Arabidopsis thaliana: one gene and its partners. The protein of the gene in region 3 purifies or fractionates together with the protein of the main gene of each other region. This does not show direct contact. Each region holds a gene or a part of one and is shown on either strand. Other genes may lie near its edges.

What was found.
Region 1: the proteins of AT2G22690 (region 3) and AT4G09310 fractionate together in Arabidopsis thaliana (co-fractionation; one large-scale study listed by BioGRID). This does not show direct contact.
Region 2: the proteins of AT2G22690 (region 3) and AT1G61150 fractionate together in Arabidopsis thaliana (co-fractionation; one large-scale study listed by BioGRID). This does not show direct contact.
Region 4: the proteins of AT2G22690 (region 3) and RanBPM fractionate together in Arabidopsis thaliana (co-fractionation; one large-scale study listed by BioGRID). This does not show direct contact.

Annotation. Positions count from the first base shown.
Region 1 is NC_003075.7:5,900,888-5,905,998, forward strand, and holds AT4G09310 (SPla/RYanodine receptor (SPRY) domain-containing protein), read left to right. Parts: upstream 1-1,925; 5' UTR 1,926-2,061; coding exon 2,062-2,321; intron 2,322-2,659; coding exon 2,660-2,818; intron 2,819-2,974; coding exon 2,975-3,110; intron 3,111-3,260; coding exon 3,261-3,337; intron 3,338-3,410; coding exon 3,411-3,552; intron 3,553-3,695; coding exon 3,696-3,764; intron 3,765-3,853; coding exon 3,854-3,910; intron 3,911-3,981; coding exon 3,982-4,068; intron 4,069-4,146; coding exon 4,147-4,353; 3' UTR 4,354-4,562; downstream 4,563-5,111.
Region 2 is NC_003070.9:22,540,673-22,546,197, forward strand, and holds AT1G61150 (LisH and RanBPM domains containing protein), read left to right. Parts: upstream 1-1,824; 5' UTR 1,825-2,001; exon of another isoform or gene 2,002-2,190; 5' UTR 2,191-2,255; coding exon 2,256-2,309; intron 2,310-2,434; coding exon 2,435-2,594; exon of another isoform or gene 2,595-2,631; coding exon of another isoform or gene 2,632-2,695; coding exon 2,696-2,802; intron 2,803-2,901; coding exon 2,902-3,033; intron 3,034-3,164; coding exon 3,165-3,321; intron 3,322-3,561; coding exon 3,562-3,683; 3' UTR 3,684-4,346; coding exon of another isoform or gene 4,347-4,881; 3' UTR 4,882-4,989; downstream 4,990-5,525. Other genes in the region: AT1G61160 (retrotransposon gag), read right to left, coding at 4,347-4,881, 5,520-5,525.
Region 3 is NC_003071.7:9,649,146-9,653,543, reverse strand, and holds AT2G22690 (zinc ion binding protein), read left to right. Parts: upstream 1-1,969; 5' UTR 1,970-2,199; exon of another isoform or gene 2,200-2,366; intron 2,367-2,563; 5' UTR 2,564-2,578; coding exon 2,579-3,724; 3' UTR 3,725-3,854; downstream 3,855-4,398.
Region 4 is NC_003070.9:13,050,617-13,056,842, reverse strand, and holds RanBPM (SPla/RYanodine receptor (SPRY) domain-containing protein), read left to right. Parts: upstream 1-1,749; 5' UTR 1,750-1,920; coding exon 1,921-2,312; intron 2,313-2,747; coding exon 2,748-2,894; intron 2,895-3,036; coding exon 3,037-3,123; intron 3,124-3,217; coding exon 3,218-3,263; intron 3,264-3,605; coding exon 3,606-3,682; intron 3,683-3,805; coding exon 3,806-3,968; intron 3,969-4,119; coding exon 4,120-4,188; intron 4,189-4,275; coding exon 4,276-4,335; intron 4,336-4,707; coding exon 4,708-4,794; intron 4,795-4,931; coding exon 4,932-5,207; 3' UTR 5,208-5,686; downstream 5,687-6,226.

The DNA of each region.
Region 1 (5,111 bases), on a different chromosome or scaffold from region 3:
CAAGAGAGGGTTTTTGTTTTCAAATGTTGGTTTACTGGTTAGGCTTTTATTCTCCACCATGGTATGGTTCCTATAAAGCTACATAAGAATTCATTTTGAAGTTTGTTTGGTGTGTGACCGAAGAACCAAAAAAAAAAAAACAGTTGCTCATTCTTTGTCTACTTATCTCACTATTCGGCAATGCATATACGTCCTAATCTTTGTTTTGCTTATCTTAGTTATTCTATCTCTCTCCCTTACCTAAAAAGCTGGCTTCAAAGGACTTGACGGATCGTTTATAAAACAGACTAGTCATAAACATAGATTTATATTCGAGATGGCTTCAAATACGAATCTTAAACTGTTTATAGTATATATAGTATCTAATAGCTGCGGGTGTTGTGAAAGGGAACTTAGTGTTGACCATGGTCATGGAGTTTAACCAAGAAGTTTGTTGAACCAAGGATTCACACAATAGATTTGTTTAGAGAGGGAAAACAAATCTAGTAATTTCTCTTCATTAGGTATTCTATCCAAGACTCGATTACAAGAGGGGTTCTAATCTCTTATGAAATACATTAGGGTTTTGCTCAAGAACAGAAAAAGAATTAAAGTTTTAAAAAGGTATAGCTGCATCCATGATGGATTGCCTACGTACCCTGTGAAGGGATCAAGCCATTCGTAGTTCTCAATAGGTATAAAGTTCTATGTTTCTTGTGAATATCCCAAGATCTCCCCCTTTTTGTGAAGTCCCTAAGGCACTTTATATAGGATCCTTAAACCGCCTCCCTAGCGATATTCTTCGGAAGATTCTTATTTATCCTTAGGTCGGTTCTAGAGGATAATCGTCCTAAGGATATTCTCCTTATTCTTCGGAGGTTTTGGGGAGATTTCCTGATTTCGACATTATCTTCAAAGATTCTCCTTTATCATTTCTGAAAGTCCCATAAAAGATCCCATTTTACCGGAAATGATCCTTGGAGAATGAATGGTTTTTACAAGTCTTTGCCTCGCGTGTTCTTCACGGCTCGGTGGTCGTTTGAGAGGTGGCTTCGGGGCAAACGGTATGTACCGGCTCGGGGCGCGCTTGATGACTGTCCATTAAGCTCAGTTGGCTGTCTCCCGAGCCGATATAGATGTGTCCCGCAGCGTTCTCACGATTGGCTCGGGCTGTGTTCATATGATTAACACCCGAGCCATTTTACAAACTCTCTTCGGGACGGTCGATCGAATAAGGTCCCGAGGTGCTTTGTTCTAGGCTAGGGGCCAATCATATGTTTAACCATGAGGTGATTGTTATTCTTAGACTGTTTGGCTCGGTCTTGCTTGTGGGGGAATCCGACCCCAACGAAGTTGTACCTTGACGGAAGAGAGCACGAATGGGATCGGTGCGGGTGTCTGGAAAGTGCCTGAAGAAGGTTCATGTGATGATCAAACTCTGGAATGCTACTGGGAGTACTGACTGTACCAAAACCTCCTCCAACAGTGCCACAGGGAACAAGCAAGCCCCATATCAATGTGTGATGAAGTTGAAGGAGCAGGGTCGTAAGGTGGACTTCCACAGTTAGAAGGAGGCTTGTGTGATGGAGGAGCTCCATATCCTTCGTCATAGTACTGATTTCCGGATCTGAATAAAGAAGCATGGCATCATTTGGAAGTAAGAGATCACATGAGAATACCATCCCTAGAACCGAGAGAGAAAAGTTTATGTTAATAAATTTTTATTGTATAATTGATATTGAAAAACATTAATAAACAGTGTTCACATAAGGTGTAAATTCACCCCAAAAGCACTCTAAAAAGTAAAAACCAAAAGAGAAAAAAACATAGAAATGGTTACTTAATAATATACCGAGTTTCATCTATTTACTTAATAATATACGGTTATTTGATTTACCGGTTAACTAAAAAATATCTGGTTTAATCGTATTTATTGTTGGCAAACACAACATTGGGCGCGAAGTGGTTTTTGATGCCCTTCAACAACATTTGGGGGTTTCATTTCAATCGCATTTCTAGGGTTTCTTTCTCTACGATTCAATAGATTCGGACGAATTGGGGGATTCTGACCAGAGAGAAGCTATGGAGGAAAACGAAGAGGAAGAAGAATTGCGGCCAACGGCGCTATACACGGTCGGTGGTTCAGACGAATTTACCTTTGTTTCTCCCGATGGGCTCTCCGGTCAATACACGGGCCCTGATCACGACGGCGTAGTTCTTCAGACTGAAAATCCGGCGCCGACTAACTGTCTTGCTTACTACTTCGAGGTTCATATCATGAATGCTGGTGAAAAAGGAGAGATCGCGATTGGTTTCTCCAAGGAACACATCTATAGCGAAGGGTATCGTTTTCTTTCCCTTTCAATTCGCATTTACCACTTATTGCGTGATTTGATACTCAATACAATCATTGATTCTGTTTGATTTGGTACCTGAGACTGAGAGAACAAATTGGGAAATAGGTTTAGATACAATGGTAGATCAGTAGTTCAAATCACTGTTTCAATGGTTTGGATTCGTTACTTGGAAATAGGTTATGTGATTTGCTGCTCAATTTGATTGTGTTGGCTGTTAGATCTGGTATCTTACAAGTTAATGGGAGATTTGCTTTGTTAGATGTTTTCACCTTTCAGTAATTAAGCATTCCAATTCACTGTTTCATGTTTCTCTGTAATGTTAGATATACTGTCAGAAGCTGTGCCTACATTGGTAACAGTGGACTCATATGCTCTCAAAATGGAGATGGTGATCGAACTGTTGCTAAAGCCAGTGACACCTATACAACAGGTGATTTAGTTGGTTGCGGTATAGACTCGGTTTCACAAGAATTCTTTTTCACGTAAGTAATAACTGTTTCCCTATCTGAACATGTTTCATTACAATTGGAAAAGTAGATATCAAGATACACAATTCATTTCTTCATGTCACAATGTTTTTGACATGTCCCTGCGTATGTTTTACTTGCTGACATCTATGACTACTTCTTTGATTATAGGAAAAATGGAACTATCGTAGGGACAATCCCCAGGCAATTTAGGCGTCCTGTATACCCGACAATTGTTTTGCATAGCCAAAACGAAGCTGTCACTGTCAATTTCGGCGGACAGATTGCGTTTTCTTTTGACTTTGAGGTAAGGTCGTACTTTTCTTTTCTTGCATAGTCGGAGAATAACTATTGAGTAAGCAGAATAATATGCATCTCTCACATATGTCCATATTTGCATGTATGTGGCATATTTTTCTGATACAATATTCTATTATCTGATCCACCTTTATTTCAGCATTTTGAAGAATCATTGAGGGTTAAAAAAGAAAGGGAAATTGAAAAGATTTCCATGTCTCGCAGCATTAGTCATGGGTAAAGTGTCTTTTCCTGCCTGTTCTTAATTGTAATTCTTGTTTCTGTTTGTGCTAAAGCTTCCTTTTTCCAGGCTTGTAAAAACCTACCTTCTTCGTTATGGATATGAAGATAGCTTTAGAGCTTTTAACCTGGCTGCAAGTCGTCATACTGTTATTGCACAAGAAAATAGTTTTGATGAGTATGAATTGCATCAAAGGAAAAAGCTCAGAGAGGTACTTTTCACTGCTATGGTTATCTTGCTGTAATTTTTTTTTTATTTTTTTTCTGTGAGGTACAAAATCAACCAAAAGCAAGCTACATTGCTACATCTTTTCTGTTTCATATCGAACTGATCCATGCATTCTGTTTGTTAAAGCTTATAATGACTGCTGAGATTGATGATGCTATTGCTGCACTCAAGGATAGATATCCCCAACTTATTGAGGTGGGCTGAGTAACTAGTTAATATATCGAGTGATTCACATTGTTAACATTCCTTGAACTATTTTAACAAGCTGCTTGTATCATATGCAGGGTGGATCAGAAGCTTATTTTCTTCTTATCTGTCAAAAGATTGTCGAATTAGTACGGGTATGTTCTTTATTCCTTGTATATTTGTTACACATATCCATGGTGTGTTTCTCTAACTAACTACAATGCAGAAAGGAGCAATAGCAGAGGCTAAGTCATTTGGAAATCAAGATTTTAAAGACTTTAGGGATTCAAGCCTACTAAAAAACCTTTTCGATGTATGTAGTGATTCTCTAACTGTTAGATTAGGTTTCTCATATTTGAGTCACTAATAGTTTTGTTTTTCTCTATTTCAGGATTGCTCTGCTTTGTTCGAGTGTGAAACTATAGAAGAATCAGGTGCTGCATATCTTCTAGGAGAAACACAGAAGAACATAGTAGCAGCTGCAGTCAGTGAAGCGATTCTATCTACAAATCCGGCCACCAGAGACCAGCAATCTGCTTCACTTGAGCGAGTGCTTAGACAGTTTGAAGCCACCTGCTCACTCTATGCTCGTGAATAAAATCTTGACTTTTTCTGTTTTTCTTTTTATCTTTTCTCTTGATAGAGTCATTGTGTAAGCTCAAATGTTCTAAAACTAGCGATCATACTTTAACTTGATTCACAACTATATACGAGATTATATTGGAGCTTGAAAATTTTTATTTACAAGTATTTATCTACAAATCGGCAAATATTGAGCTGCTCATACTAATTTTGATAATTTAATCGGCTACAAATTTTAATGACATGTTGTTGTTAGCTGTAAGTTAAAATATGAAATCGAAAGTCTTTTGTTTATTGCTTTCAACTTAAGCCTTTGTGATTACAAGCTATGTCTATTTATACATCTAGATTGATTTAACCTAGTGTCTTCTTGATTTGCATAGCTGTCACTTGGCTGTTATGTGGCGTCGTTGTCTTCACATGATTCAAGAGCCTCATAGCGATTCCTCGTCGTTACTTCCGTACTGCGTGGAGATAAGGACCGCTCTGCAACTTTTCTGCTTTTGTCCTTTGTTGTTGCAGGTTGTCGTTGCACTATGTTGGGCTTGGCTCTTGGATTGGGCACTTGTTTCGGATTGGGCTTTAATGGTTTTGAGCCCAATTCCAAAACTGTGTCGTTTGGAGCTGTTCTGTTGATACTCCCCCTCAAACTTGGAGGAGGTGGGAAATCGACACCAAGTTTGAATCGGAGAGATTCGAAAGGAGCCTTGGCGAGAGACTTTGTAAATATGTCAGCGAGCTGTAGATAACCCGGGATATGATGGACGATGAGCT
Region 2 (5,525 bases), on a different chromosome or scaffold from region 3:
CTAAATCAGAAAACCCAAAAGTCACGGAATTTCAGCTCCCGGGAAACCCAAATCGAAATTCAGAAGTAGACGCGTAGATCCAGAGATTGTAGAATTTTCAGGTACGACGAAGAAGAAGGCTTGAGAATTGGGTTTTGAAGGAATTTTCGAGGAAAGGTAGAGAGCAGTTGGGATAGAGAAAATAAAAATCGCGACTTTTTGTAGCGACGGTGGCTTCTTTTTATTGCCTTGTTCTCTCTTTTGGCTTTCTCCGAATTGGAAAAAGTAAACACCACAAGGCTATGGGACTTCCGGCTTTAAATAAGGAACGGTCGAACATTTGTTTTTCTTTTTCTTTCATTTTTTTCCATTTTTTCATTATTTAATAATGCATGATTATATATAATTATATTTTATGCGCCGTCATCTTTATTGTTAAAGCAAAATCACAATTTAAACAAAAGGAAACAACTTTAATTAGTAGTAGGAAACTGAAGTGTTTAAGTAATGGAGATTTTTTTGAAGTGTTTGCTAATCATAATTTATTGTAAAAATTATTTTTAATTGTGTGAAAATTAGATTTTCTACACTAACAAAAAAATTTCATATGTTAAAGAAAACAAATATGAAACTAAATCACAAAGATCAATTGGAATTAGACATGTGGATCGACTCATTAGAAAAATAATCATCTCAATCAATAAGAAGAGATAAAACATATATTTGACTAAATGATCTTACCAATCTTGTGGTCATAAAATTCTACAAAGCACTATATTGCTAATTTCTACAAAGCACATTTGTAATCTTCTGAATCATTTGTTAGCCCTAAAAGAAGACTAGTATTATACGAGATCACCATTTTTATGATTGATCAAATATCTTGTAGAGCGCAAAACTTTGTAGGTAGTTTGATGAGAAAGAGCTTGCTTATTATGTGATCAACAATTCCGTTCTTGCCATGTCTCAAAGTAGTTGCTTGCCATATTAATTGATATGAAGAGCCTTTGATTTTGCAGAGATAGGAATTGCCAAAAGAAACCATATGAGGATTGACTCGAGAAGTTTTAGTGTAACTTCTTCACTAAGTCCTTCCAAACCAGTTGGGAAAAATAATATTAAAGAATAAGTGGTCCATTGATTCTTAGTCGGTCAACTAGCTAGAAGACCTCAAATTCTGCAATCGATCCTTTGTCTTATTGTGGTTCCACACAAACAACCATGTGCAAAGAACAAAACATGTTTTGGGACTTTAGTTTGAAGATGCAATTAAACATATTGTTAGATTGTTGACCAAGAAAAAACATATTGTTGAGATTGAAAGATATATTTTGCATCGGACTGCAAAATGTTTATGTCACATATTTGTTACCTAATAGTTGATTTTAATAGAGTATAATAGAGTATCAGTTATTGGTTTTAAATTGTGTATCAAATTCCAAATAATATAGAGATTTTTAACATCAGTCTTATTTAATTATGATTTTAACCAAGTGTCGTTAGCTCAATTGGTAAAGACCTTATGCAAAGCTTAGAGGTCGCCGGTTCGAGTGACGCTTGGGACGAAACTAATATTTTATGCTGTGGTTTCAGGCCTGGGGGATTACGGACTTTGACCCACAACCTCCAAGATTTAAAAAAAAAAATAAAAAAAAATTATGATTTTAAATCGAAATTTTGTTCTTCAAAGGTAAAATAGTTTAAAAATCTTTGGGTATTAAAATCATTTGGAAATGAGTTACATAATACTATCCGGTATATAAAGAACCAAATCCAAAAACAAACCGGTTCCCTTAATAATTTAAACCGGATTATTCATCGACGGTTCGTCAACATCCTAATAATTTAAACCCGATCTCTTCTTCTCTATCGAAAACCTCCAACTTTTTTTTGTTTTATCAGATTGTAAATTTAGGGAAGAGACTTTCGCAAGCAATCTAGAAGCAAATCGATCGCCAAATCTCCGGATTATTTGCAAGAATCGTTCCCAGATAATCTTCCCCAGATTCTCCACTTCTCCAGGTACATCGTTATATTCAATTTTTGAGGAAAATAGTCGCACACTCTCTCTTTCTTAGAACTACCACTCCTGTGCTGTTTTGAGATTAAAGCTTGAATTTTGACTAAAGCCCTAAATTACTTTGTATCACTATCTGATCACAAAGTCAATTTCTTTTGGAAATAGCTCTGATCGGAGTGTTGCTCGAACAGGTATTAATTTCGTATTGAGTGGATTAGATTAGATTTCAAGATATGAGAGCCTCACTGGCGTTCTAATGTCACTGTTTCGTATTTTTATCAATCAGCTTGAAGAAGACGACGAAGATATGGTAATTTTGACTCCTCTTATGAGTCTGTTCTTTGTGTTATTTGATACAACTTGATGATGGGTTTTTGGAAAACTTTAATCTTTATGCACGTTGTGTGACCTAGTTTTAATCGTGGCTTGTCGCAGGCTACTTCGAAGAAAATGATCACACGTGAAGAATGGGAGAAGAAACTAAATGCTGTGAAGCTTAGGAAAGAAGATATGAATACTTTGGTGATGAATTTTCTTGTGACTGAAGGATATGTTGAAGCTGCTGAGAAATTCCAAAGGGAGTCTGGAACCAAACGTATCCTTTTTCTGATTCTGGTTTTGAGTTTTTGTTTATGGAATTGGTGTGTTTGATGTTTAGCTTATCTACTCCTTTTGAACTTCCTTATCGAGAAACAGCAGAGATAGATCTTGCGACCATTACTGATCGAATGGCTGTTAAAAAGGCTGTTCAAAACGGAAATGTCGAGGATGCGATTGAAAAAGTTAATGATTTGAATCCTGAGGTACAATGCTTCTTCATATCTTGTGTGGAGAGTAGTCATTCACTTTTCTGATGTAATAAAGAAGCAAAATCTGATTCTTCTTTGAACCCATGCTTGCAGATACTAGACACGAATCCGGAGCTCTTTTTTCATCTTCAGCAGCAAAGGTTGATAGAATTAATTCGACAAGGGAAGACAGAAGAGGCCTTAGAGTTTGCTCAGGAGGAACTTGCACCACGTGGCGAAGAAAACGTAAGTCTTTGTATTTCACTTTGATTTCTGTCGTTAAAGATGGTGTTTTCCATGTGTATTGCTCATTGACTGTGTGTAATATCTGTTGTTGCTGAAACTTCATTCATACAGTCTGTTATATCTCTCTGCAGCAAGCGTTTCTGGAAGAATTGGAAAAAACTGTAGCCCTACTTGTTTTTGACGATGCCTCTACCTGCCCGGTTAAAGAGCTTCTTGATCTTTCCCACCGTCTTAAGACAGCAAGTGAAGTAAATGCAGCGATTCTTACAAGCCAGAGCCACGAAAAAGGTAGCTTTTGAATTTTGATGTTATACTGGTTGTCTTTTAGTAGCCACAAAATACCATTATAATCTCGAGCATCATTCATTATCAATCTTAAGATTCAAAGTATATGCAACTCTTCTCTACATAACAAGTAAAATTTTTCATTCATTACTTCACCCACAACATGTATCATCCAAGTTCTTCTTGAAACTTTCCATTTTCCTCCATGGTTAATGTAGCAACTCAATGTTTGTGAACAAACAGATCCTAAACTTCCAAGCTTGTTGAAGATGTTGATTTGGGCTCAAACTCAACTGGACGAGAAAGCAGTGTATCCGCACATTAATGATTTGTCTACCGGTAAGCTCGAAGACCCGTCAGAATGATTCCGTACTTCTTTCAGCCATTGGAAATCAGTAGCAAAAAGGAACAATGAATGGTGCTCTCTTCTCTTCCCGTCAATCTCAATAACTTACAATTCATATGCTTTCTGCTTTTCCTTTTCTTCTGCATCGGGATTTGTTGGACCCGCAATCGTTAGGATATGGGGAGGGGAACATAAGCTTTTGTAGGCAATGAATTACTCTAGTCAAATGTTCTTATTATCAACATATTTGATGACTCATTGCATACGTGCATTTGATTTGAATGAAGTTATCGACTTTGTTTGGATCTTTGTGTTTGTTTTGAGGAATATTTTTGTTCCAAAAGGTTCGAATTGTAAACAAGAGAGATGGCTTATTCATCCCATGTATAGTTACATGAATCAATGAATCAACTTGGCACGGTTCCTACTTACCTAGAAAGCAACATGACCTATTGAATTGAGTGCTGTTACCGTCGAAATGGAGAATCTCTGCGAACCGTACTGAAACATCATTTGATTTTTCTTCTTCTTCGCAAAATATTATTTTGGTACTGACACAGCTTTGAATCTTGCATGACATGGTACGAAGTAAATAAAGGGAAGTAGTAATAGCAACTTTTTGATATATAAAATAGGAAACATAATCCACAAGACTCAAGACCTTATGTTGACTCTAGCCATCTCAATCTTGCATGATATGGTCTTCCGGATCATAGGATTTGGAGGGTTTGCTCTCCACCTCATCTTCGGATGCGGGTCGGCCCAAATTGCTTTGTCCGCAGTCAACATCTGCAAACTCCTCAGACACGAGCGGCACCTTTTCCTTGATGCTTCTAAGTTTGGCCTCTACCTTCTCAGCTTCATCAACTACATCTGACACATAATTAAGGATCCATCCGCAGTTCGCTGCACATACCCCTTCCTGCAACTCCTCGCGTAGCCCTTCCTGGAACAGACACGCCAGCTGCTCTTCCTCCAACTCTCTTCCGAGGTTCTTGACCTTCTTAAGGAACTCGTTATAATACTCACGCACTGTCTCTGTTCCTTGCTTCACCTCAAAGGCTTCCCAGCTCAAGGCAATGTTGACGTCAACCAGCTTAGACTCATCGAAGGCTCCGCGCTCAGAAGCTTCTCGGGGTGGCTGATCCTCCTCCCCAACTACCCCTGTGAGCTCAAAGTTTTTTGGTTCACCAGATGTCTTGATCGACCTGGTCTGCCTGCGGGTCAATAATTCATCGAGTTTTATACATTTAATAATTTGTTACAAAATATGAAAACAAGGATAGTTTTCAGTTAGAAAAACAATTTATTATCTTAGAAAATCATGACTATGCTAAATCTAATATATTTAAATAAAAAACTTTACATCAAAATTCTAACAAATTATCAAATATTATGGATTTGAGGGAGTATAAATTATCATTATAATTCAACAAAATTAAAACTGAATTTTGCGAAAACATAATTTATATGAAACTCGAGTATAAAAATGATGACTCGAAATGGATCAAATAGAATAAAGCAATCGTAATGTCGAATAGTGGAAAAGAGATTTATATCTTATTTTATTTTGTCTGAAAAAGATCTATCTTCACCTATTTTTATTGAACTTTAAATATTTTAAGCAAAAATAAAATTGATTCAATTTGATATAAAATGAGCAAAGACCTTTTGATCATGATCCTTTACAAGATTTTCATTTCATGCTTTATCATTACAGAAAAAAAAAATCTAACAAACTAATCTGAAAGCTAAAAGATTGAAAATAATATAGTTTCTTAATATATTTTATCAAAATCATTAATAGATATTGTGAAATAGATAATAGAAAATTGAGAATATCTAAGGAACTTACAAATTG
Region 3 (4,398 bases):
ATGTGTTTAAGGAATAGAATGGTTTAAGTTAGTAGCTTTGGATGTTTGGGTTATATATAAACTGCTTCGACATTAATAATTTCAGTTAAGGCAAAAAGATTTTTAAAAGCAAAAGTTATGGTTATTAGTCGTAATCAACTTCAAGCCATTATTATGGTTATTAGTTGAAATCAACTTCAAGCAAACATTTATCATTGTCTAAAGCTCACATTTATCACTATCAAAAGCTTTATCATTTGTCAAAAACCATTTATCACAGTGAAAAGCTATGTAACGTCTATCCACAAAAAAAATAACAATCAATGCTATATAACAATCAATCAAGTACATATTTACCTTCATTGAAGTGCATAGACGAATTCCTTTACAGTTTCTCCTTAACTCACAACCACTTGCTCATCCGCCATTGACACTCACCAAAAGCATAGAGAAAAAAACAACAATTAGCATTTACAGTTAACTTTACAATTTGATTCAATCACATAAACAGATATTAAACAACAAAGTTTACATTTACTAAACCCAATCAATCACATCTACATATACATTAAAAAGAAAATCAAACTATCGAACGATCTATGACCATATAAATCTATACAACATGTCTCCAAAACGATCTATGACCATACAAAACTATAGAAAATGCTTCAAGATATATCAAAAAACACCCTAATCTTGCTACAAACGAAGAACCCTAATTTTAAAAAAAGAACCCTAAATTTTCTTCAATTCAAAAACCCTAATTTTTTTGATTAAACCACCAAATACAACATCTAATCACGTAATAAAGACTAGAATTGATTCATACCTAAATTGGGGAAGGCGTCGGCGATAACTCTCCGAATCCAATTTGCTATTTTTCGATTTCAGCAAACTTCCGCCGATGTGAACACCGTTGAAAGCCTAAGATAACACAGCGAAATACAAACAATCACCGGCGTCAATTATTCTGGTTTTTCAAAGATTGAGCAATTTTTCTTTTGTCAATGTCGCGAAGAGAAAGAGAAGGAGAGAGAGAAAAGAATTTGTTCGGGCAAAACAAAGAAAATGAAATCAATCATTTTTATTTTTTTCTTTTGTTTAAAGAAGATAACCAATGAATGTATGCCACATGTTCGCCTCTCTCATTCCCTCATAAACTCTCTCCACAGAAACGCTTCTCTAGTTTTTCTTTCAGTTTGATTAAATTTTAATCAAAATAATCAACAGAGACTCTGCAAAATTTCAACAGAGCCCAGCGTTGGAGATGGCCTAACGTCCATTACAAAATCACTAAACAGACCTTTGGTCAAGTTGGTATAATCTTGTGATGCTAGTTTTGTTACCTACACAAAACGGGTTTAAAACATCAAACATCCCACGTCCCCTTCAAATCCGAAAAAGCTATATGCCAGTCTATAACTATAGAGCTTCGGTAAAATTGCATGATGTCTTGTGATGGGGTTACATATCAGAAGTCCACCCTGGTATTAACTACCATGGAAATAGACTAAACCAGAGGCGTAGCCACGTGACTTTTTTTTAGGTTAACATAATGATTGTTTGGAGAGAATTTCCCATGAAATTCGGCAGCTGCTACAAGAGTGGACGACGATTCCTCATATAAATTATCAAGCTGAAGCGACGAGAAAAAGCTCCACACACCACATGATTCTTCTTTAACGTCGCCTTTCTCAACTAAGGCGAATAAGAGGCGCGGCTTAGCCGATGACCTGGTCAAGAACAAGTTCTTGAAATATGGACTACCAAACATTGATGCCCATAGCTTCGACACACAATGAAACCTCGCTAATGACTTTAAAGGTAATCTCGACAATATCTCCATGATGAGATCATTTGATTTGGGAGTCGGAGATAATGAATCCTTGTTTGTTGATACGTTATAAACCTAGAAACCCCTAGCGAGAGCCGAGAGACCTAGCTTCTTCATATATACATTTCGTTAACTTGGAGAGGACACCTCAAACTGTCGCATTTAATTTTAATTAACTAGGCCCACGTAAAAATATTCTCGGCCCAAATAGTTACATTGTTGAAAAGAAACCGATCAAATCCAACGGCTGTGATTCATTCATCTTCAAGATCAGAGAGATTGATTATTTCAAAGAAACTGAAGAAGAAATCTGCAAATTCATCTTCTCTTCTTCCTCCGATTCCATCTTTCTCCGTTTCCGGCGATAATCTTCATCGCTTCTTCAGGTTCATGTTTTTCCAGATTCTTTGATGCCTTTTATGTATCTCTGACTCTCCACGGTTTCTTAATATGAATTCTTCTTCGCTTCATTTCTGATTCGCGATCGTCAGATTCTCTGGTTTGTTTGAAATTCGAATCCGTGTGTCTGATATTTCGATTCCTGGATCATTTGGTATGAATAATCAGAAAAAATGTTTGGTGTTGCATCTGATGCGTTGATTCTGCTACTATGCTATGAGAATTTGAATTGCAATGAATCGATTAGATTTAAGAACTCCTCTGAACAATGAGTTGATTAATGGAGATTATAGTGGTTATTGTGGATATGATTCTTTTGGTTATTGATACTTGGTTCCTTCTTTCATGTAGTTGATTATCTTTAGAATGGAGCTAAAGAATGTCAAAGATGCGTTTGATCGTGTTACCAAAAAGCAGAAACTATGCTATAGCAAAACGCATGAAGTGGTAGACAAAATGTCTCAAGAAATCGACAAGGCATTGAAAACGATACAGGAGGATAATCATGAATCTGTTGTTGCTGATCTGAAGAAAACTTTTGAGGAGATTGCTCCAATCAATCTACTAGAAGCGTCTCAGAAAGAAATAAATGGGGTTCTTACCAAATACCCGAAAGCTCTTGACAAAACTCTGAATCCAGATATATCGACGGCTTACAGAAACGTTAAGTTTGATACTCATACAGTTCATCAGATACTAGCTCAGTTTTTCTACAGGCAAGGCATGTACGACGTTGGTGACTGTTTCATTTCCGAGACTGGTGAGGTTAAGCCTGAATCTTCTGTTACTAAAGCTTTCATGGAAATGAATATGATACTTGAAGCCATGAAAGAACGGGATCTCGGACCAGCTTTGAAATGGGTAGCTTCAAACTCTGACAAGCTAAAGGAAGCAAAGTCAGATCTTGAGTTGAAACTTCACAGCCTTCACTTTTTGGAGATAGCTAAAGACAAAACCTCCGAAGAAGCTATCAACTACGCGAGAAAACACTTTGCTACGTATTCAGCAGATAGCTGCTGTTTCCCTGAGATACAGAAACTCATGTGCTCTCTCTTATGGATCAGAAACCTCAATAAATCCCCATACTCAGAGTTCCTCTCACCTGTATTGTGGACCAACGCTGCCAAGGAACTAACCCGACAATACTGCATCCTACTCGGTGAATCACCAGAGAGTCCTTTAAGTGTAACAGTTGCAGCAGGTTCACAAGTTTTACCGACGTTTTTGAAGTATTTGAACGTGCTGCCGGAGAAAAGAAAAGAGTGGCAAACAATGGAGCAACTTCTTGTACCTGTGGAACTCTCTGAAGAGTATCGCTTCTACTCGGTCTTTGTCTGCCCTGTCTCTAAAGAACACTCGAGCGAAGATAATCCGCCGATGAGATTGGCTTGCGGTCATGTCCTTTGCAAGCAGTCTATCAACAGAATGTCGAGGAATGGTTCAAGGTCGTTCAAGTGTCCTTATTGTCCAACAGATATTGATGCTTCGCAGTGTAAGCAGTTATATTTTTAGACTAGCTTTACAACTTCTTATGCAGCATTTCTAAAGAAAGTAGACAAATGTTTCTTATCTTTTCTTTTATGAACTTGAATTGGGTTCGTGTACAAAAACTATAGTTTGAAATAAAACCTTTTATACCCATATGGTCTTTGGTCTAGTGGTCTTGAATTTTGAATGACAGGAAGATCCGTTATCGCGCCAACTTTGATCACTTGCCAAGACAGAACTTACCGATTCATCATACGACCATCATTCGTCGTTCACTCACCAATGTTTCATTTTTTAAGTATTGATTGTCGAATATCTTTATCTATACGAAAATGGAAACGTTAAACTTTGGTGCTTCGAAAAGAAAACACTTTAAAATTTGGTATATCATTCACTTAATACAATACAACCCCAAGGATCAAACTCTTTATGTTTGGAGAGCTTTTTGAGATTCTTAATGGATAAAGTACATTATAAAAGAGTTATTAAATTAAAGATAAGTATTTAGGGTCATTTTGTCTTCTTGATCATTTCAAAACTCTCCTCTCTCCACTAACATAAATTTGTGAACTACTTTTTGGCTTTTGGTCTACATAAATTAATACGTGTCCATGTATATACTAAATCTTGAACTTGTTTAGATATGATATGAACTTTTAGATATAGTCGTGCGAACCATTATTGCATCTCTTTAGTGG
Region 4 (6,226 bases), on a different chromosome or scaffold from region 3:
GGATTAGCGTAGGATTATCGAATTTACTGATCCAATTGCGGAATTATATTGGAGTATGACACAATAAATTAAATACAGAAAATTACAAAATAAATTTTATTAAATAGAAAATATTATGATTATGATTTATGATGTAAACTATCAAACCAAAATTGCCACAAATATTTCCTCACGCTGCACATCGTGGATCCTTATCTAGTTTACCTTTAGATTTTCAAACCTCTAAAATTGAAATAATGTTTGATAATTTTCAATAATGCAAAAAAAGAATGAAGAAGAAATTCAATCAAAACAAAAGACAAACATATCACATATAAACTTCATTGTTCTGATGCTTCTTTGATTTAGCAATTTTGGGGAAAAATAAGTTCGAATGCAAAAATAAAGTTTGTAATTATTCAACAAAAAATTCGGGCATACCAATTTTTTTTCTTTCTTTTAATCGTTTGAATGCAATTTTTTTGTTCGGAATATGAACATGGCATGTAGAAAGATGAAATGCTTGCTAGAGCGTTGAAGTTTAGAGAAGCGTTTGTTAGCATGAAAGCTTTTGATACCAATGATAAATTTTTGATCTATTGAAACCTTTTAGTGTTATTATCACTTACTTTTTAGGCTCTAAGTATCCCACATCCAATGTATACTTTACACAAATATGGAGGATTGAGTTGTTGCTGAAGAAGTATGCTATTTGTGATGATGATGTTGTTGAGCAAGTGGCTCAAGAGATGCATGGTAAATTTTCCGAGTATTGGGAAGATTATAGTCTCATTTTGGCTATGAGAGCAGTTTTGGATCCGAAGCTTAAATTGAAGATGCTTGAAGTAGCTTAAAAGAAAGTAAATTCTACTACTTATAAGTTAAAAATTAAAGGGCTCGAGAAGAATTTGATGATATTGTATAAAGTTGGAACTTGGTGAATTAACTTAATGTGAGTTTTTGTAACATAAGATCTATTTGAACTAGAAAGAAGTATTGAAGACGGTGTGAACAACACAAAGACACACTTGGATATTTATTTGGATGAGAGTGAAAGTCTTTTTCGAAATTTGGATGTCTTAAGCTATTGGAAAGATAATCAGAATCGATTTGGCGGTTTAGCTTCTATGACATGCGATGTCCTTAGCATTCCTATTACTAAAGTAGCATCAAACTCAGCTTTTAGCATTGGATCGAGGGTTTTGACTCCATATAGAAATCGCTTGCTTCCAGAAAATGTTCATGTTTGCTTTGTACTCGCAATTGGCTACGCAAGTTTGTTGACTATGAAGGTAAGAGTTTTAAATTGAAAGCTTTATAGGTAATTGAATTATATTAATTAAATTTCATTGTAAATTGTAGGTACCACAGAAGATACCAATGAGTTTAACCATGGAGATACTCGAAAGACTACAAGTAGTTCGAGAGTAGAAGGTTCAAGATCGGAAAAATCAAGTGTGCCATGAAACTTTTGTTTTTTCTCTTTTGTTTTTGAAATATTTTTTATTTTAAGTTTTGTTTTGGTAATAAAACCACTTTTGATATTAAAAGTCTTTATGAATCACATTTGATAAAAACATGGATTTGATTTTACATTTTAAAAGTGTGTATGAATTAAATTTGATAAAACATGGATTAATTTTACATTTTATAAAAAAGTTTGTGTTTTTTTATGAATTGAAACAGCCAACTAATTGGTATATAACTAAATATTATTTATGAAATTTATATAGAGAAATATATATAAGAAAAAAATAAGTCTAACAAATACCGAAACTAGCGGGTCACAAAAATAAACAACGGATCAAAAAATAAATCAAAGAGAAGAAGAAATCTCAACAAATTCTCTAATTCAGTGTTCTTCTTCTTATAGACTCCAAAAACCTCTGAAGAGCCTAATCTCAAAATTTCTAGGGTTTTCTCTAATCGGAACCAAAACCAATGAACTCTTCACCACCACCGGCGAATTCCGCCAACGGCGATACAACCAACAACGGCGAGAACGGTCAAGATCTGAACTTAAACTTCTTAGACAAGATTCGTCTCTCCGCTAAACGAGATGCGAAGGAAGACGAAGGAGAAGAATTACCGACGGAGTTGAATACGATCAATAGCGCCGGCGGATTTCTTGTGGTTTCTCCTGATAAGCTTTCCGTGAAGTACACGAATACGAATCTACATGGTCACGATGTTGGTGTTGTTCAAGCTAATAAACCTGCTCCGATCAAGTGTCTTACTTACTACTTTGAGATTTTTGTTAAAGATTCTGGTATTAAAGGACAAATTGCTATTGGTTTTACTAAGGAAAGCTTCAAAATGCGTAGACAACCTGGGTATTGTTTTCTTTATCTTTGGATTTTGGATCCAATCTTTGTTGATCATTGTGTGTTGAAGTTGTTTAGGGAAGAATCTGAATTTGAAGGATTTAGTTCAAGAAGTATAGTTTTAGCTTGTAGCTTGATCATTGTTGTGTTTAAGGTATGGTTTATTTTAGAAATTGAGGTTTGTGGTATGGTTTTGGGATCCAAGTTGTGGTTTAGTTATTATAGAGATTTAGCTTCTTGGATTAGGTTGTGTGTGTTCTTTCTGGTGAGTTCAGTTGTGTAGAAGTGGTTTAGGGAAGAATCTGAAATTCGAAGGACATTGCTTTGTGGTTTATTTGAAAGCTAGGTTCTTGAGTTTACAAATATGGATGATAGTGCCTTTGAAAGAAGCTTTATCTGCCTAATACTTGAATTTGAGGTTATAGTTTTCTTTTGTAATGGTAGATGGGAAGTGAACAGCTGTGGATATCATGGGGATGATGGATACCTATATCGTGGACAGGGAAAAGGTGAACCTTTTGGTCCAAAGTTTACAAAAGATGATGCAGTTGGCGGTGGTATAAACTACGCTTCTCAGGAGTTCTTTTTCACGTAAGAAAGAAACTGTTTCATGTTTTTTGGTACTTAAATAAGTTCATTACTACTGTGAGTTGAATTCATGATTCATTCATTTTCCTGTTACTCTTTGTCTGTTAAAGCTGATGACATTTTTGATTATTTTTGTTGGTGCCAGTAAAAACGGAACTATTGTTGGGAAAATCCCCAAGGACATAAGAGGTCATCTATTCCCTACTGTAGCTGTACATAGCCAAAATGAGGAGTATGTTCTCACTCTCTCTTTAAAGATCAATACCATTGCCATCATGTATCTCACTCTCTCTTACACAAAGCATATTTTTCTGAAATTTTGGCAGGGTATTAGTCAATTTTGGGAAGAAGAAATTTGCTTTCGATATTAAGGTAAGAGGAAAAATCCTTTCAAACGTGGTTAATTAGGTCTCATAGCTTTATACTAAAGTAAGGATGGTGTAACCAGGACTACTGCTATTGAAATCACATAATAGGTATGCCTCATGTCCGTTCTTGGTACTGGGGTTACCGAATCTATAGCAGTGGTTCTCTTTGTAGACATTGCTCTCACATTTGCTATTTTACTGTTCCTGTGTAATCAAACCTCAAACTCTTGGGCACTCAAGTTATAATCTTTAAACACTGAAGTAGGGCATAAAAATTCTTTCCATTACATATATGTTTGAAATTAAGTAATTGACGAGGGCTGTTTCCCTCTTTCTGTATTATTAGGGATATGAAGCATCAGAGAGGAATAAGCAACAATTGGCTATTGAAAAAATATCCATACCTCCAAACATTGGTTATGGGTGAGTACACTCCTTCCCAGCAGTAACAGATCATGTACTTTTTTAACTTTGAATTGCAATACTTGGTTTCCCTTCTGGACTAGCTTTCTGCTTTATCTATAATTTTGTTTTCTTTATCATTAGGCTTGTCAAGACCTACCTGCTACACTATGGGTATGAGGAGACACTCGATGCTTTCAACCTTGCTACTAAAAATACAGTTCCTCCAATTCATATAGATCAAGAAAATGCTATTGACGAGGATGATTCATCCTATGCTTTGAAACAGAGAAAGAATCTTAGACAGGTATTGAACTTGCTACGGTTTAACATATAAGACATGTTATCTTCTAACTTTATTAGGCTTGTATCTGGCTTTTTTTGGTTCCTATTCAAACCCATACTAAATTACTGCTTCGTTAGTGAATTTGGACTGATTCATTCTTTATTGGGTGTAGCTTGTTAGGAATGGTGAGATTGATACTGCTTTGGCGGAACTCCAAAAGTTGTATCCCCAAATTGTACAGGTGAACTGAGATTTCTTATCATATTGTTGAGATGATCCACTTCACAGGATTGTGATACGAAGTCTTACCCGGCTGTACCTACTGCAGGACGATAAATCTGTAGTTTGCTTCCTCCTTCACTGTCAAAAGTTTATTGAATTAGTACGGGTATGCTCTTCATTCCTTAACCATCTAAATTTCGTGTTCTTAATACTTGTCAGAAATATTCTCTCTCTGTGCATATAAGAATAAAATTTTTGTAATTAAGGAAGCTTTTGATGGATTTGGTGTCTCATACAAAAATTAGCTGCTTGAACTGTGTGATGGACTTTGGTGTTAAACCATAAACTAGTGAAAAAATGCACAGAACCTATAACACACTGGAAACCATGTTACATAGATGCATGGAACCTTGTCACCGTGTATAAATATCACCTTAAGTTAGTTCTCTGGATTATTCCTTCTTTGTTCACTTTCACATCTATGCAGATGGGGCTATTTCTCTAACTATATGGTTTTGGAAAAACATGGCATAAACAGGTTGGAAAACTTGAAGAAGGTGTGAACTATGGCAGACTCGAGTTAGCTAAATTTGTTGGGTTAACTGGATTTCAAGATATAGTCGAGGTACCAATGTCTCCTTTACTCCTTTTTCTTTCAAGCAAGATCTGGTTTCTGAGAATATGTATGTATTGCGTTCAGATACAGAGACTATATATGTTGCTGCTTCGCTTAGGAACTCTATTTTCTTGTTGATTATTCAGGACTGCTTTGCTTTGCTCGCGTATGAAAAGCCTGAGGAATCATCGGTCTGGTATTTCCTAGAAGACTCACAGAGGGAATTAGTGGCTGATGCGGTGAATGCAGCAATACTATCAACAAATCCAAATAAGAAAGATGTGCAGAGAAGCTGTCACTTGCAATCCCATCTAGAGAAACTGCTAAGACAGTTAACCGTGTGCTGTTTAGAAAGGCGGTCACTGAATGGAGACCAAGGTGAAACATTCCGGCTTCGACATGTTCTTAACAACAACAGATAAAGAAGATGAAAATGGCTTAGCCGCGCATATATTTTGAAAACTCTGTTTTTCTATGGTCGTTATCATCATAAGTGGCTTTTGTTCATTACTTGTGTGATATTATGTTGAACTTTCCATTATGTAAAGGAGAAAGTTAGAAAAATGGGTTCGACGTTAAGACACTGGGACTTCCACTGTTATTGGTTCTTTAAAGTTTAGATGATTCAAATTAAGATTTTCAACATTCAAATCAGAAATGGAAAAACTGAATTAGCGGTGGGGGTGTTCGGGTTTAGCGGTATCTTTCGGGTTTTGTAACTTTTGTTCGCTTGGGGTTACCTGAAATTATTCTCAAAAAGAGATTTTATGGTAAACAGAAATTTTTATGAAGAGAATCTTTAATTTTTTATTTTCTTTTCATAATTTCATGTGACGATGTATAAATGTTATGATGGTAAATAAATATTATTGTAAATTATAATCAGTTTTAAACAATCGAGAAAAAACAAATTCTTGTTTAAAATGTAAATTTAATAATTATAATTACAATTTTCACATTTTCAAAATAATAGTAAATATGAAATTTGACCTATCCAATAAAAGCCCAATAACTAATGTAAATAGAGTCTATATTGATCATATTTAGCTTCATCCAATGCTTTTGTGATTAAAAACCCACGTGAAAAAAGGCAATGAGTCCCACATCGGATGCGAAAGCAAGAAAAAATGAAAGTTTGGCTATAAATAGTTAAACATACCGAGTGTTGAACATATATATTTTTCTCATGCTTTGGTTGAAGGTGGCAATAACCTCAAATATATCAGAGGGTGTAGATACTCAACGACTATAGGAGGCAATAACTTGAGCAAACAATTGATTGCAGAAATCCATCGACTAAAGCTGTCACCTGTTTGATTCCAGCTTTTGTCTCCTTACCTGTTGAGTGTCTAAACTCTCTGGTACGTTCATAGTTGTTGCTGCCTTTCGCTTTTTTTTTTACTACACGCAATTGTTTGAAAGAAATATTTCATGTGAATTT